Lytechinus pictus: one gene and its partner. The protein of the gene in region 1 purifies or fractionates together with the protein of each later gene. This does not show direct contact. Links are inferred from orthologs where the notes say so. Each region holds a gene or a part of one and is shown in the gene's direction. Other genes may lie near its edges.

The links. The genes of interacting proteins can lie anywhere in the genome.
Region 2: the proteins of derlin-2-like (region 1) and protein OS-9-like purify together in Homo sapiens (affinity purification with western blotting; 3 studies listed by BioGRID, with this or other methods). This does not show direct contact. The link is inferred for Lytechinus pictus from reciprocal best matches to the Homo sapiens genes DERL2 and OS9.

Annotation. Positions count from the first base shown.
Region 1 is NC_087246.1:9,527,692-9,535,459, reverse strand, and holds the start of derlin-2-like, read left to right. Parts: upstream 1-4,694; 5' UTR 4,695-5,114; intron 5,115-6,900; exon of another isoform or gene 6,901-7,037; intron 7,038-7,768.
Region 2 is NC_087247.1:60,358,222-60,366,278, forward strand, and holds the start of protein OS-9-like, read left to right. Parts: upstream 1-5,005; 5' UTR 5,006-5,100; coding exon 5,101-5,256; intron 5,257-8,057. UniProt on the Homo sapiens protein: Lectin component of the HRD1 complex, which functions in endoplasmic reticulum (ER) quality control and ER-associated degradation (ERAD).

The DNA of each region.
Region 1 (7,768 bases):
CCATTTTGAAAGTCAAAATACAATATTTAACACAAATATGAAACCCGAATAATATATTTCGTTGCAAATTATATTTGAAGACAGTATTCCACTAATTTACCACAAAAAAATACGTTTTAGTGCTCACCTTGTGATTGCTTTTGTCCTCTCTCACATCGTAGATCATAATTTTAGGGCCTTTGGCGGTCATATTAAATATCAAAATACAGGGTTTATCACATACATGGCATGTATGTAATTAATAAATTTCGTTAACAATTATGTTTTTAGTCAGTATTCCACTCGTTTATCTCAACAAAATGCATTTTAGTGCTCACTCTTGTGATTTTTTGTGTGTCACCATTCACATTGTACATAATAGTGTTAGGGCTTTTGAAGGCCATTTTGAATATCAAAATACAGGATTTATCACATAACTGACATAACAAATGATATATATCGTTAGCAATCATGTTTACAGACATTGCTTCACTCATAGATCATAATTACTTGCATTTCTGTGCTCAATTTTGTAAAAATTAATTTTCCCCATTCATATTGTACAGGGGTCTATGATGGCGGCCATTTTGATATCAAGAAAATAAATATTTTGACAAAATTCATTTTTTCAGATATTATTTCACTCCGGCAGCATAATTGCATGTACTTTAAAGCCAATGTGTGGACAATTTTATGATTTTCATGGGTAATTTGAATATTTTGGCGGCCATATTGGATTTTGCCAATTTGCAGAAAATGCTCAAGGTTACACGAGTGGCATCATTCAGATTCGGAATCAGCACCCTCGAATTGACAAGAAACCATAAAAAAACATTGTATATATAAAAAAAACAAGGTTCGACCCCTTCTATCCTGGACTATATCGGTGGCCTATATGAATAAACTTTGATTTCTTCACAGGAGTATGTTAAAGAGGAGGGTGCTTTTTCAGTGTTTAATTTGGTTGTTTATTTTTTTGTATATTTTTATTTATTTATTTATTTCATGCGTAGGCTCATAAATCGTAAGAAAAGTAGGACCTTAATGGATCATTAAACTGTACTGAGGCCTACATAAGTCTGATTTTCGTTCGAATTATTGGCCCACTAGGTCTTTAAATAAAACATTAGAAGTGAATCTGTCCACTCTGAGGATCTCCAATATTCTTAAGATTTCCTTCGATCAATAGGAATCTGGTGTGACTTTGGGCCATGGACCCCGTTTTTTTTCACAATCCCAAATTGTGGAACAGGGTTGAAAAAAAGACAAGAAAAAGGGGGTCAGAAATCCGGGGGTGAAATATGCTTTTTTTAATGATATTATTTTCTAAATATTATACCAAAATCTATCGCAAAATTATATGTATGTATTAAGAAGGTACCAACTCTTTTTTTAATTGCCCATCTGCCATATCTGCCCTCTTAATTAAAACTTCTGGCTCATTATAAGCTATATTGCCCATTAAAGGAATACTGAGGGGTCACTCGAGGTCTTCATAGTCCAGGATAGGCCCCATAGACAAGGGGTCGAACCTTGTTTTTTTAGATATACAATGTTTTTTTATGGTTTCTTGTCAATTCGAGGGTGCTGATTCCGAATCTGAATGATGCCACTCTTGTAACCTTGAGCATTTTCCGCAAATTGGCAAAATCCAATATGGCCGCCAAAATATGCAAATTACCCATGAAAATCATAAAATTGCCAACACATTAGCTATAAAATGCATGTAGTTGTTGTGCAGAAGTGAAATACCAATTGGAAAAGCGATATTTGACAAAATATTTATTTTATTGATATTCAAAATGGCCGCCATAACCCCTGTATACTTTATTATGTAGAATATGAATGGGCAAAATATTTTTTCAAACAAGAGCACTATTATTGCATGTGATTGTGACCTGCGAGTGGACTACTGTCTGAAAACATGACTATTAACAAAACTATGTCATTTGTATACTATCTAATGTGATAAATGCTGTATTATGATATTCAAAATGGCTGTCATAGACCCCTTATACTGTGTACAATATATAAAAGGGGACATATAATTTTCACAACCTTTGAATTTGTTTGACTTTAAAATGCCAATAACTGCGAAATATTGGTGTAACACCGTCTGACAACAAGGATTTCTAACGAAACATATCATTTCCCTTGCAATTTCGGTAATTATGCTGCATGTTGACATTCAAAATGGCTGCCATAGGCCCTATCTGTATTATGAACAAAGCGAATGAAGAAACTAATTTTCACAAGAGTAAAAACAATAAAATGAATGCAATTGTAATCTATACGAGTGAAATATTGTCTAAACACATGATTTCTGGCGAAACATATCATTTCATTTTTCATGCATGAGATGAATGCTGTATTGTAAAATTCAAAATGGCCCCTATGGGCCCTTACAGTATTATCTACAATGTAAATGGGGACAAATACTTTTGAAAGAATTAGGATTTGCCTGACTATGAAATCCATATAATTATGTTGTATAAGGAAAATATTGTTTGAAAACGTGATTTTTTTAATGAAATATAACATTTCCTCTCCCATAGGTGATAAATACTGTATTTTGACTTTCAAAACGGCCGCACAAGCCCCTACAAATTCTGTAACATGCGTATAGGGAAACTAATCATCACCAGAATGAGAACCAAAAACGCACGTAACTATGTGATGTATCGGTAAAATTTGGTCTTGAACATGATTTCTGACTAAATACATCACATAATGGTTGAGAAGGTAATAAAGGCCTTACTTTGAAATTCAAAATTGCTGCCATAGCCCAAAGTAGTATGTACATTGTAACTGGGGACAGATAATTTTGACAAAATTTTTACTATGAAAATGGCTTAATTTTGATGTAAGTGTTAAAGAGAAATTCCAGTATTTGCAGTAAACACTGATTTCATGAGAAAGTCTGTAAAAACAAGGCTTAATTGTCAGTATATCATCGAGGATCTAGATCTGGTACAGTTACATAAACTGAACTTTTTGAAATCTTGAAATCTACGCTGAAAAATGTTCACACTGAAGATCACCAACACAGATAGGCACACGTGGGACAGTGTATTATTATTGCTAAAATAAAGACCCGACGGAAGTGACCGAATCCGCGCTTATTTTGCTTATTTCTCAGCAATCACACAATTTCTTCCAGAATCCTTTGGCACATATTTTTTATTCATACAAACAGACACTTAGGTGGTCATTATATTAGATTCTGTAAAAAGTCATTTTTAGATCGTTACCAAAACTGGAATTTATCTTTAAGTATTGTCTAAACCCAATGATTTCTAACGAAATATATCATAGCTTGTGTCATAAAGGTGATGAATGCAGCCTTTTAAAAATGAAAAATGGCCGCCGTAGTCCCTTATCTTAATATGTAAAATTTGATTGGGGAAAGATAATTTCCACAAAGAAACATATTGCAGCCATTTTGACATTTAAATATAGCATTTATCACCTAAATAACATAAGAAATGATCTATTTGGTTACAAAATCATATTTTCAGACGATATTTCACTCATACATGCAACACCATTTAGTCAAGCAAAGCCAAATTCTGTTAAAATTATATGTTCCCATTCACAAAGTACATAATAGGCCTACTGTTAGGGCCTGTAGCGGCCATTTTGACTTTCAAAATACATTATTTATCACCTACCTGGCAGAATGAATGATATATCTTGTTAGGAATTATGTTTTCAGACAATATTTTACTCTTAAATCACAATTATATGCATGTTATGGTGCTGACTCATGTGAAAATTGGTTTCCCAGATCGATTGTACATAATACAGTCAATGTCTTTTAGCGGCCATTTTGAAAGTCAAAATACAATATTTAACACAAATATGAAACCCGAATAATATATTTCGTTGCAAATTATATTTGAAGACAGTATTCCACTAATTTACCACAAAAAATACGTTTTAGTGCTCACCTTGTGATTGTTTTTGTCCTCTCTCACATCGTAGATCATAATTTTAGGGCCTTTGGCGGTCATATTAAATATCAGAATACAGGGTTTATCACATACATGGCATGTTAAATGATAAATTTCGTTAACAAAAATGTTTTTAGTCAGTATTCCACTCGTTTATCTCAACAAAATGCATTTTAGTGCTCACTCTTGTGATTTTTTTGTGTCACCATTGTACATAATAGTGTTAGGGCTTTTGAAGGCCATTTTGAATATCAAAATACAGGATTTATCACATAACTGACATAACAAATGATATATATCGTTAGCAATCATGTTTACAGACATTGCTTCACTCATAGATCATAATTACTTGCATTTCAGTGCTCAATTTTGTAAAAATTAATTTTCCTCATTCATATTGTACAGGGGTCTATGATGGCGGCCATTTTGATATCAAGAAAATAAATATTTTGACACAAATCATTTTTTCAGATATTATTTCACTCCGGCAGCACAATTGCATGTACTTTAAAGCCAATGTGTGGACAATTTTATAATTTTCATGGGTAATTTGAATATTTTGGCGGCCATATTGGATTTTGCCAATTTGCAGAAAATGCTCAAGGTTACACGAGTGGCATCATTCAGATTCGGAATCAGCACCCTCGAATTGACAAGAAACCATAAAAAAACATTGTATATATAAAAAAACAAGGTTCGACCCCTTCTATCCTGGACTATCACGGAATTTCCGTGGAGGTCTTCCGTATCTGAACGTGCTCTGTCATTTATTGTACCTGCAAGTATTCACTAAAGGGAAAAAAATGTTCCGTGCTTGTATTCTTCAAAAAAATATATAAGAAACTTTTGTCAGCCTTTTTTTTTTTAATTTGTATTTATTTATTTTTTATTCGATTTCTTAAATTTTGTAACTATGTACCGTAAGTGAAGTATCATTAATCATTAAATGTGCTCAGACGGACACTTATCACTTTCGAGCAAGGTGATTAATTGAATTGCTTACTTCACCGATTTGGATCAGCTGCGTAAAGCTGACGTGTGTGTACGAGACTTAAGGCCTAGCCTACTTCTGTGCTGTGTTAACAAGCTAGCTACGCCGACTGAATTTTATTTAGGCCTAGTTTAGAGTTTAAACAAAACTCCAAATTCAAGCCAGTGCCAGTAGTAGTCCAGTTTAAAATTGTAAGTTGATCTAACGTTATTAATGTAGAGCTCTGTTTCGTCTTTCAACATTAACTATGAATATGACTGCGATTAACAACATAGGCTAATTGTTTTGCTTTTTGTTTCAGTTTTTCACCATGGTCCAAGACTCCAGTCCATGTTCACCGTATCACTATCAGTTTCAGAGTCGATTCTCCACTCAGTTGATTCATGAACAGTTGAATGAAGTTCAATCAACTTCCATACTTCATCAGTTAGTTAGGCAACCATGACAAGACAGTCACTGTGTGCCTTAGACAGCTGGCAGCCGTCCGTTTCGAGGAGTTTTTAAACTTTTTTTTTTTTTTAGAGTGAAGCCAACGGAGTTCAGCTGAACAACCAACATAACAGAGACCGAAGCTTTTGGTCTATGTGTGCCTGTGACTGAGTTGAGTTGAGACTGAGCTTAGCCTTAGACGTAGCTAGACTAGACCTGAGCCGAGTATTATGAAAGAGAGACACGAATCAAATAATGAGTCTAACTTTGCTTCAATTACTTTTTAGTAATTGGGATGGTCTGGGCTGAGAATATCTAACGTTGGATCCAGATCTAGATATAATCTGGACTCTATGTCATGATGTGGCTGACCATGATTTGGCACATTTTGAAAAAAAAGTTGGTTTTCAATCTAAAAATTACAGTTCACACAAAATTAATCAAAATCATAAATACCAGATGGAAGGCAAGATCCCAAAGGCAAAGTCAAATTCGCTTGATGGAATTATAAAGTAGGTCAAGGTTTGCACTCGTATCGCGATCTCAAAACTCCATGGCGATCGACTAGTGCGCACTTGGCTGAAAAAGTGTCATAAAAAGTGTGACCTTAATTTGCACACGATCGTTTTGCAAAGCTTTAAAAAAGTAATCAAGCAGACAAAGGTAAGATAATTATATCAGATGGAGGTTAAAATGCCATAAATTTGGTTGGTATCACATTTTACTTATTTGGAGACCTCTCCTTGCAAACTGACGATTTCTTGATGCTTGCCAAAAAGTTTAGATTTTCTCGGAGCGTACGCTAAAAGTAACAAAATTCGCCAATGTTTTGCCAATGTCTTTACAATTTGAGACCTTCAAGAATATTATCATACTGAGTAATTTTGGGTCGCTTTTTCTGTTGGTGATATCACTTTTTCAAGATGTTAATTAGATATTCGACTGCACAAAATCAGGTAAACTGCGAATTAAGTACACACCACCATAAATAAATAGAGTAAAATTCACAGAGCAAAATGCTGAAAATTTCATCAAAATCAGATAACAAATTATAAAGACTTTAAAGTTATTGAATTTTTAAGTAAACCATTAATTTGTGAAAATAGTTATATGCACATCATCATGAATATTCATTAGGTGGGCTGATGATGTCACATCCCCACTTTCCCTTTTCCTTATGTCATTACATGAAATCATAATTGTTTCATTTTTTCATACGTGTGAATAATGTGTCTCCTTTATAATGAAATAGTTGCAGCAATGAATATCTAATGCACTAAATCAGTTGTCCAATTTTTTTAAGTTCTTGGTAAATTTGTTTTTAATAAACCTAATTTCATATAATAAAATACAAAAGAACAAGTGGGGATATGACATCATCAATTTGCTCATTGAATATTCATGATGACATGCCGAGAACTGTTTCACCAGAATAATGTAAATCTTTAAAATGCCATAACTTTGGTATTCCTTGTCCGGTTTTGGTCAAATTTTCAGTGTTTTGTTTGTCTCATTTTTCTCTATCTGTTTAAATCATATAATTTTCAGCCTGGAGTATCCCTTTAAGTCTGGTGAGTGGTGTTGCCATGCCTGTTGAGTGTTAGTGCACAGACACAGTGATGTTCGTGTAGGGTAGGCTCCACTTCACTACCGCTACACTAGGCTACACCTACCCGAACATCAAGGTACAAAACTCCGAGTGACAAAGGTGTGATTTAATGTGTATAAAACGTGAAACTCGTGCAACAACACAACCTTTAAAAACAATAAAAACTAATATTCCTACATTTCACAAAGTTTCACTTTTCCACGCTTCTATCAGTCTCAAAATCGTTGATTTAGAGCCAGTAACAGTTTCCTCACACGTATTAATTCACTGCCGATTTTAAAACATCGCAGTTGCGCATGCGGGGAAATCGCAGCTCAATTCAAGAAAATTCATGATGGGACTATATAGTTCGGGATCGTTTCGCATAACTTGCATCAGATCTCGATAGTTCAGATTTTGATAGTTTAGATTCTCCTATAAGAAAGATGTGTAAGATTTTTTTTGTTTTTGGGGGCTAATTATGATCACCCTCTGTATTTATGAACTTCCATATGAGTTATAAAAGAAAGTTTTGATCCAGATTTAAAATAGAGCCAATATAAATTTTTGGATAATGTCATATGTCAAATGGAATCGCCCTTATTCTTGGAAGACAAAATCTTCATCATGCAAAATTTGTGTCATCCACTTCTCCTTAATCAAATTTTCATGATAATAAGGAGACATTTAATTCTGCTTTTGAAATGTGAGAGATGGATCCAAAAGATTAAAAACACAAAATGCGTCCAATAAACAGTGATGGACGAAAATATGTTCTTGTGACGTGACATAATGGAATGAAATATTCGAGGCCTCGACAGTAAGACT
Region 2 (8,057 bases), on another chromosome or scaffold:
ATACCGACAAAATGTGGTTGAAATCAAGAACGAACATGGCACTCAAAGCAGTTGGAATGTTGGAACAGCACTGCGTGATTCCGACAGGCAGCATTATGGGCTCCGCATATCGTCTTCCTCTTTCCATTCCCTCGCTCTCTTCTTCTTCTTATCCTTTATTTATCTTTTTATCATCTCCCCCCCCTCTTTCTCTTTACCCCTTTCTTCTTTTTTTCACCTTTCATTCTTTCCCCTTTTCCCCTTCCCCTTCAGTTCCTCTCGCCCTTTTTTTTTTTATCAATTTCCCGACATGCTCGCAGATTTACTGACGGTGGGGCGAGCGCGAAGGGGGGGGGGGGTGTCGCATCCTACACCCTCCACTTTTGCTACGGCCTTGCCTATATTAGGGTATGTCTGAATGATTAATGAAATCCCTGTGTGCACATCTTTTAGACACCTGCATAGGATCTTAGTCAGGTCCAGATTTGAGAAAAGTAGACTGCCTTAGGCAAATCGTGTTAATGCAGAATTGAAAAGTGTTACAGCATAATTTGAGGGCGCTGAGTCCAAATATGCTGTTTGCCAACCTTGATTTTGATGTTAAAATCATCAAATTGGCAAAAACAATATGGCCGCCATTCTACATCCTTTTTTGCTCTATTTTGAACCCCAAAATTTGTATTAAAAAAATGTTTGTCAACTGTTTTTGGTACTATTTTATTTTGATCTCAGAAATAACATACTAAAAATCAACTAAAATTCGCATCCGGGAAAGTGGTTATTTTCAAGATGGCGTCTGAGATGGCCGCCATTGCACTCAAAATTAATATAACTGACTCTTTATCTGCCCTATAAAGACCTTTTTTTGGTGCATACACGACTTGCATTCAACGGTGTATAGAGGGTAAAAGGAAAGAGTGAAAATAAGCACTCCAGGATACCTGAAAATCCAAGATTTCGTAAAAATGGCTGCCATGGCCTAAAAATTTACAATGAATGCCTTTTATTTGTTGTTTTTTCATTGGTGATTTTAAGGGTCAAGTAGTAAACTGTGACAAGTTACAAGGACATTCAACGGTCCACTATGTCCAAAAATCCAAGATGGCTTTCAAAATTGGAGTCTAAAATAACTCTTATCTAAAAACCCTAAAACCCGACATAGTTTGTTTAATATCTGCCTTGGGGATATAATGTTGATACCTATAACCCATGGTTAAGCGGGTCAAAAATATGTTGGAACAAGGAACAAAGACAGTTTGTGGTCCTCCATGTCCAAAAATCCAATATGGTTTGCAAAAATGGAGCATAAAATGTCTGTCGTTAATTACAAACCGACACAGTTTGTTTAATAACCGCCTGGCGAATATGATTTTGTAGTATAACCCATGGTTTAAAGGGTCAAGTATTACATTGTGACAAGTAACAAGGACAGTTAGTGGTTCCAGCATGTCCAAAAATCCAAAATGACTTCCAAAAATGGAGTCTATAATGGCCGTTCTTACCAAAAAACTGACATAGTTTGTTTAAAATCAGCCTGGAGTATATGATTTTGGTGTTTAACCCATGGCTTAAAGGGTCAAATAATAAAGTAGGATAAGTTATACAAGGACAGTCAGAGGTCCAGCATGTCCAAGAATCCAAATATGCTTCCAAAATTGGAGTCTAAAATGGCTATTGTTACCTTAAAACTGACATAGTTTGTTTAATATCCGCCTGTGGTATATGCTTATGTTATCTAACCCTTGGTTTAAAAGGTCAAGTAATACATAAAGGATAAGTAAGAAGGGCAATTAATAGTCCTGTCTGTCCAAAAATCCAGGATGACTACCAATACAGGAGTCTAAAATGGGTGCTGATACTTAAAAATTGACATAATCCATTTAGAATCCATCTGGGAGATATGATTTCGGTGTCTACACCATGGTTTCAAGGGTTTAATAATACTTTTGGATTAGTTACAATTCTGTGAAGCTGTCCATTTTGCTTATTATTCAAAGATGGCTTTCAAAATGAGTCTAAAAAGACTTCCATCACTTAAAAAATATAATTAGATGAAATAATCTACACTATTGTGGCTTGCAAGGCTGAAATAATAAATCGGGACAAATAACAAGGATGGTCAGTATTGTCCTTTTCGTTGTAAAAGTCCAAAGCGACTTCTAAAATTGCGTAAAAATAACTGCTGTCCCCTAATCATGAAACCACATAGGATAGTCCTAAGCACTATTAATGACGTGTCTTGAAATTCTTATCAGCGAATTATGGTTCTTTTTAGGTGAAAGTGTACCGTATTTCTTAAAGTTTGTTTTCGGATGTTTACTTGTTGTTGCACCACCATCTAATTTTGTCACTAACTCTTGTAAAACATATTTTTATGAGTCTTAAATACATAGCAGAGGCACCAAAATAGTGGCGCTAGATGGGATATGAAGTATTGCCATTTTTGTATCAATGTTGGCCAATTCGAATGCAATTTTTGGAGTGTTCTGCAATTTTTTGACAAAATGGACAACAGCGTATCCCTGTAATTCGTCTTCACCTATATTATTTGGCCCTTAAAATCATGAGAAAGATACAAAAATGTCTCTAGGTAGGCCTATATAGTATGTGCACTATGCAGCAATTCTTTAAGAAATAGCAAGCATCTTTTAAGCCATCATGTTTTTTTTGCAAAACAGCACCACTGATACTCCTTGAAAATTTTCCAATGTAATTTTTCTCCTTGGAACCATGATTTTTTATGTTTTATTTTTTTCTCGGTAGACCGCAAAATTATTTCTACCGGGTGGATATTATAAGAATTTGGACCATTTCAAAGTTACAACGTTCATTATATAGACGCCATTTTGGAAGGTCATCTTGGATTCTCTGACAACGTACTCACTGACTATCTTGTAAACATGTCCTGATTCATTATTTGCCTTGAAAGCTTTTTTATGATTTTGATTTTGATGACTTACTTTAATTTTTGGAGTTGATGGTACAAACACTGCCGTTTTGGATGCTATGTTGGATTTCCAGGTACCCTGGACAACCTTTTGTAACTATAACCTGTCTCAACAGATTTTAACACTAAGTTTCATGAAATAGACATCTATACCCTAAAAGTTATCAAAAACTTAACCTCGGTTAAGATTTGATGTTGACCTTGCCGCCGCCATGGTCATCGCCGCCGTCGGAAAAGCGACGTCCATGTCATGCTTCTGGTATGCAGGCGAGTAAAAAATGAAGGACACGTTAAAATATCACAACATGATTATGCCAGCATCGCCCCAAAATCATCAAATATTTGGCCATATTATTTATCAATCAGCAGCTGTGAATCATGGCAGCCATCTTGGAATTAAAGATGGCTAACGAATCAATCGGATGCATTGTGTTTGCAACCCAGGGTATAAAAAATAAGGCATAGACCCCAATTTTTGAAATATAATCACCAATAAAAATCGCTTAATAGGCCTATGGGAAACTGCATTCAAAATGCCGCCATTTTGTTTTTTTTTGCCGATTTGAGGATGAAAACGTCGAAATCAAGTTTGGCAAACAGCATTTTTGGATTCAGCACCCCTGAATTACCTTAAAACAATCGATAAATAAGCATTAACACAAAATGCCTATTAAGCACTTTTTCTGAGCACATTTTTTAAAATCTGGACCTGACTATCTGTCTTTTGTGCGTCCTATTGGTCTATCTTTTGAATCCTCGCTAATACTACAGTCACACGGCCATGCCTAAGGACCTGCGGATGCCTGCATATTTGGATAATGAAAATGCGTAATTTTTACCTCAATAATGGAAATTTAAGCAAAAGTTACCTATATTCTTTTTATTTTATTTTATGCCATTTGCGCTACGCATGACCGAATCAATTGATGTTGAAGACAAAAGGTGCAGAGACCCCTTTTTCCAAGTTTTTGAAAACTTGATGAAAAGACAGATGCTGATGTAAATACTTTCATCGATGTCTGAGCTGGCAAAAATCTTTTGATTGGACCCTTTTTCTTACAAAGGATTGTTAATAAGTGAATGTACTTGCACACCATTAACGAGGAGATCGTACCACATTTGGACCAACATATTGTTGAGGGACAGTTGTGAGGAGTGTACAGGTATCTTTGGTGGATTCAGGACGGAGCTCCTGCCCATCGTTCCAACATCATTCGTGATATAGACTCTTTGGACATTACGTTGTTGCCCTCAACCATGGCATTAAAAAGCCACCAAGATCGCCTGACCGCACGCCCTTTGATTATTTCCCTTAGGGACACTTAAAAATAAGGTTTTTGCAACTCTTCCCCACGATTTTGATGACTTGCAGGGTCTCCTCGTCTTCCTTTAAAATTATTTCTTTTCTGTCTTAAGCTGTATAATGTATTTAAAAACAATGTTTTCTGCATACTCTGTTTTATGTATACCTGTATGTTTTATCATGTACTTATTGTTTCATACACACTTGTATGTTTGTCATGTATTCGAACTCAAAGTTGGAAGACAAATAAAATAAAAATTCGATATGAGGTGGATGCTTTGGACAATGATCCGGCATTGCCATTGGTGAGACGAGCTGTCCAATATATCCTTCAACGCTTCTGGTTTTGTTTTCAAAGGAGAGGATGACATGTTGAAGGTGTGGGTAAATAAGACCAGGTCCATGATAAGACATACACTTTTCACTCATCATTTCAGAGAAATGCCTCAAGTAACACTTCATTCCAAAAAATTACTTTGGAAAACATATTATTCTATCAAGTTCACATTTTACCCACTTTACCAAAACTTGGAAAAAATGGTCTCTGCACCTGTTGTCTTTAAAAGCGATTGATTTGGTCATGCGTGGCACAAAATGATACAAATAGGGTATCAATTGAAAGCTGATGAGTTTCTCATATATATCCATGCAGAATAATTTCACAAAATTAAATATGATCCTAATATCAGCCCTCTAGATTTGGATTACCTTTTTTTTGAAACGCACTGTATACAGCTAACGAGCGCGAGCCAATCACATGCAAGCAAATCATCATAGCAGTCGAACTTTGGTGCGGTACGCGTACGGTGCAAGCATGCATGCAGTGATAAAGTAAACCGAGGACTTTCAGCTCGTTACGTGAGACGAGAAGATGGGATTGAAGCGAATAGAAAACATCGCACTCGCGTTGTTTTTAACCAACATTACCATGTTGGCAGGGACATCAGTATATTTCTTGGATATAGAAGAACTCAAAAGCATCCATTATGACATAGATATCCTTGAAAATCCTGTTTTATATGGAAGAGTAAGTAGAGATTTGTTCATGTACGGTCCCATATGTATATTTTTACGTGTTGTATGGTATAGGCTACCTCAGGCTCAGGCGATGTTCGTGCAGGCTCCACTCCACTTCACTACCGCTACACTACGCTCCACCTACCCGAACATCGGGACAGTGAACTAGATCGGATATTCCGAGTCATAAAAGGTGGGATGGCAATCATGGTTATCGTAAAAATTAAAGAAAAAAAATATAAAGAAGGATATGAATGACTTAATATCTTACTTTACACCCGTAAGTGCCGTATTTCACTCCGTGTCCATCCTCCGGTTATCCTCAAAATTTGTGATTTTGGGCCAGTATCTTTTTCCTCACACGTATTATTCACGGCCGATTTCAAAACATCGCATGCGATCGCGATCGATCAGCGACCGATCGCATGCGATGTTTTGAAATCGGCCGTGAATAATATGTGTGAGGAAAAAGATACTGGCCCAAAATCACCAATTTTGAGGATAACCGGAGGATGGACACGGAGTGAAATACGGGTGTAAAGTAAGATATTATTATTAAGTCATTCATATCCTTCTTTATATTTTTTTCTTTAATTTCTACGATAACCATGATTGCCATCCCACCTTTTATGACTCGGAATATCCGATCTAGTTCACTGTCCCGATGTTCGGGTAGGTGGAGCGTAGTGTAGCGGTAGTGAAGTGGAGTGGAGCCTGCACGAACATCGCCTGAGGTAGGTATAGGCGTACTACTAGTATAGTGAGTGATTGTATATTACCGAACGGCCTTGTAGTTGTATTACCGAACGCGCGCATCGTACGCGTCAGAAAATAATTTCATACGCTCAAAACTTTGCAACATCCTTCCAAAGGGAACTTGAATAGAAAGATGATGAAAAATGGTCAAAACACATTTTCAAAGTTATGATATTCTAAAAATATTAAAATATGGTCAAAATAGCTCACCAGTGATTTTGTTGTTTTCTCAATTTTTCCCATAGACCTTATCGCAAATAGATTCACGCAAAGGATCATGGGATCGCAAAGGGAGCAATAGCGCCGCTGTTGTCCGGATGCGACCATGCGAGCGCAAGCAGCCGACAATAAAGTGTACGATTTCCATAGTGTATCAAAATACGATCGACGCCGGCAGCCAACATTTTGCTAACTTCCAGTAAACGCCTCGTCATATTTGTTCCAGAGTCTAACATCACTTTTCTTCTTAATCATGGGTGGCAGAGATAGATGTGCTGTATAAAGCTGCAAGAATTACCACAGATTTTATGAAGACAAGTGCAATTTTCTTTCATTTTCGCGCACTGTCTGTGCGTATTTTGATCTGTGCAGCTGCTGTGCAAAGTGTGCTTGTATGCACGGACAGCGGGCATGCACTCTCGGCCCAGGGGTACGTCGGCGAGGCAGTGGAGGAAACTGGTCCCGGAATTCCAAGCAATAATAAAATGATGATCAATAAAACAAACTCTGCAGTAGATTTGATTACTTTAGTCTAGTTATATATTTTTTGTAATATCAATCGATAGTCAAGAATACATGTTTCATAATTAATTATCTCAATCATGATTTTATTCAGAGTAGGCCTATAAACCGAGCTGTGTTTTCTTTTTCTCTCCACAGATAGGCTACATAATATTATTGCATATTATTCAGGATCGTGGTCGGACATTCTGAAGTTTTATTGTTGGCATGCATAGACAAAATAATCATAATGAAATAGAAAAAAATGAGAATAGATGAAAGTATATTGAGAGAAAATTAAGCTAAAAAAAGAAAAAAGAAATTAATGAGGAAGGTGATTTGTAAGAGAAGTGACTGAATGCGATGAAATTAATTGAAGATGTAAATGTTGAAATAAGATTTTTTATCAAAAGAATGGAATATATATCTATATGAATTAAATATCCATCTGCTAAGTTTCAGACAAAATAAAATTACAGAGAGATTGGAGGGATAGGGCCTATACGGGATCATAAAATGTTTTAAATTGAGAGATTTATTCATCTTTATTCTGCATGTCATAGGCCTATTATTTTGTATGTCCTTAATATTATGTATATGTATATATATATATATACACTAGCTTATTTTGGGCTTTAGATTTGTCTCATGCACCAGAACTTGTATGATCAAACTAAACAGCCCGAGTTGCAAAAAAGGACTATATTTCACCCAAAATAACAAAAACTAGCTAAATTTATATGGAGATATATATGGTCTACATTATGATTCTCATGAATATTCTTTAATGGAAAAATATGCTATCTAATTCGGAACGCCGACGTGCTCTTTTCTAAAGTCGATCAGCATTGACCCGCAATCACCGTCTCACTTTCCCCACAAAATCTTCCCAAGTTTAGCCCCAGAAAACTTCGAAAATACAGTGAATATTGAGTTCATACTTTCACTGGGCAATCATGATACAAAGATTGTTTTATAAATCCACATTAAAGTATCCAAAATAATATAAATACGAAGAAATCAGACTAAAAAAAAAGCCTGGATTTTGAGTGACACTACACAAAACATATGGCGTTGTATGGCTTCCTGAAAGCCGATTCCGCGTTTGCCCCCTTTCGCATCCCATGATCCTCTGCGATGACAGACGCCCTCACGCGACAGACGCTATTTGCGATAAGGTCTATAGAAAACACACGTTCGGTAATACGATACCTTTTTCAAGTGACAAAAATATTTCACATGCGAAGAGGGGTCCGATTGGAAGCTAATATCGTAAAAAAGAAAAATGATTTCCGCAAAATTTTTACATATTTATATTTTGTAGGTAATTGTGTA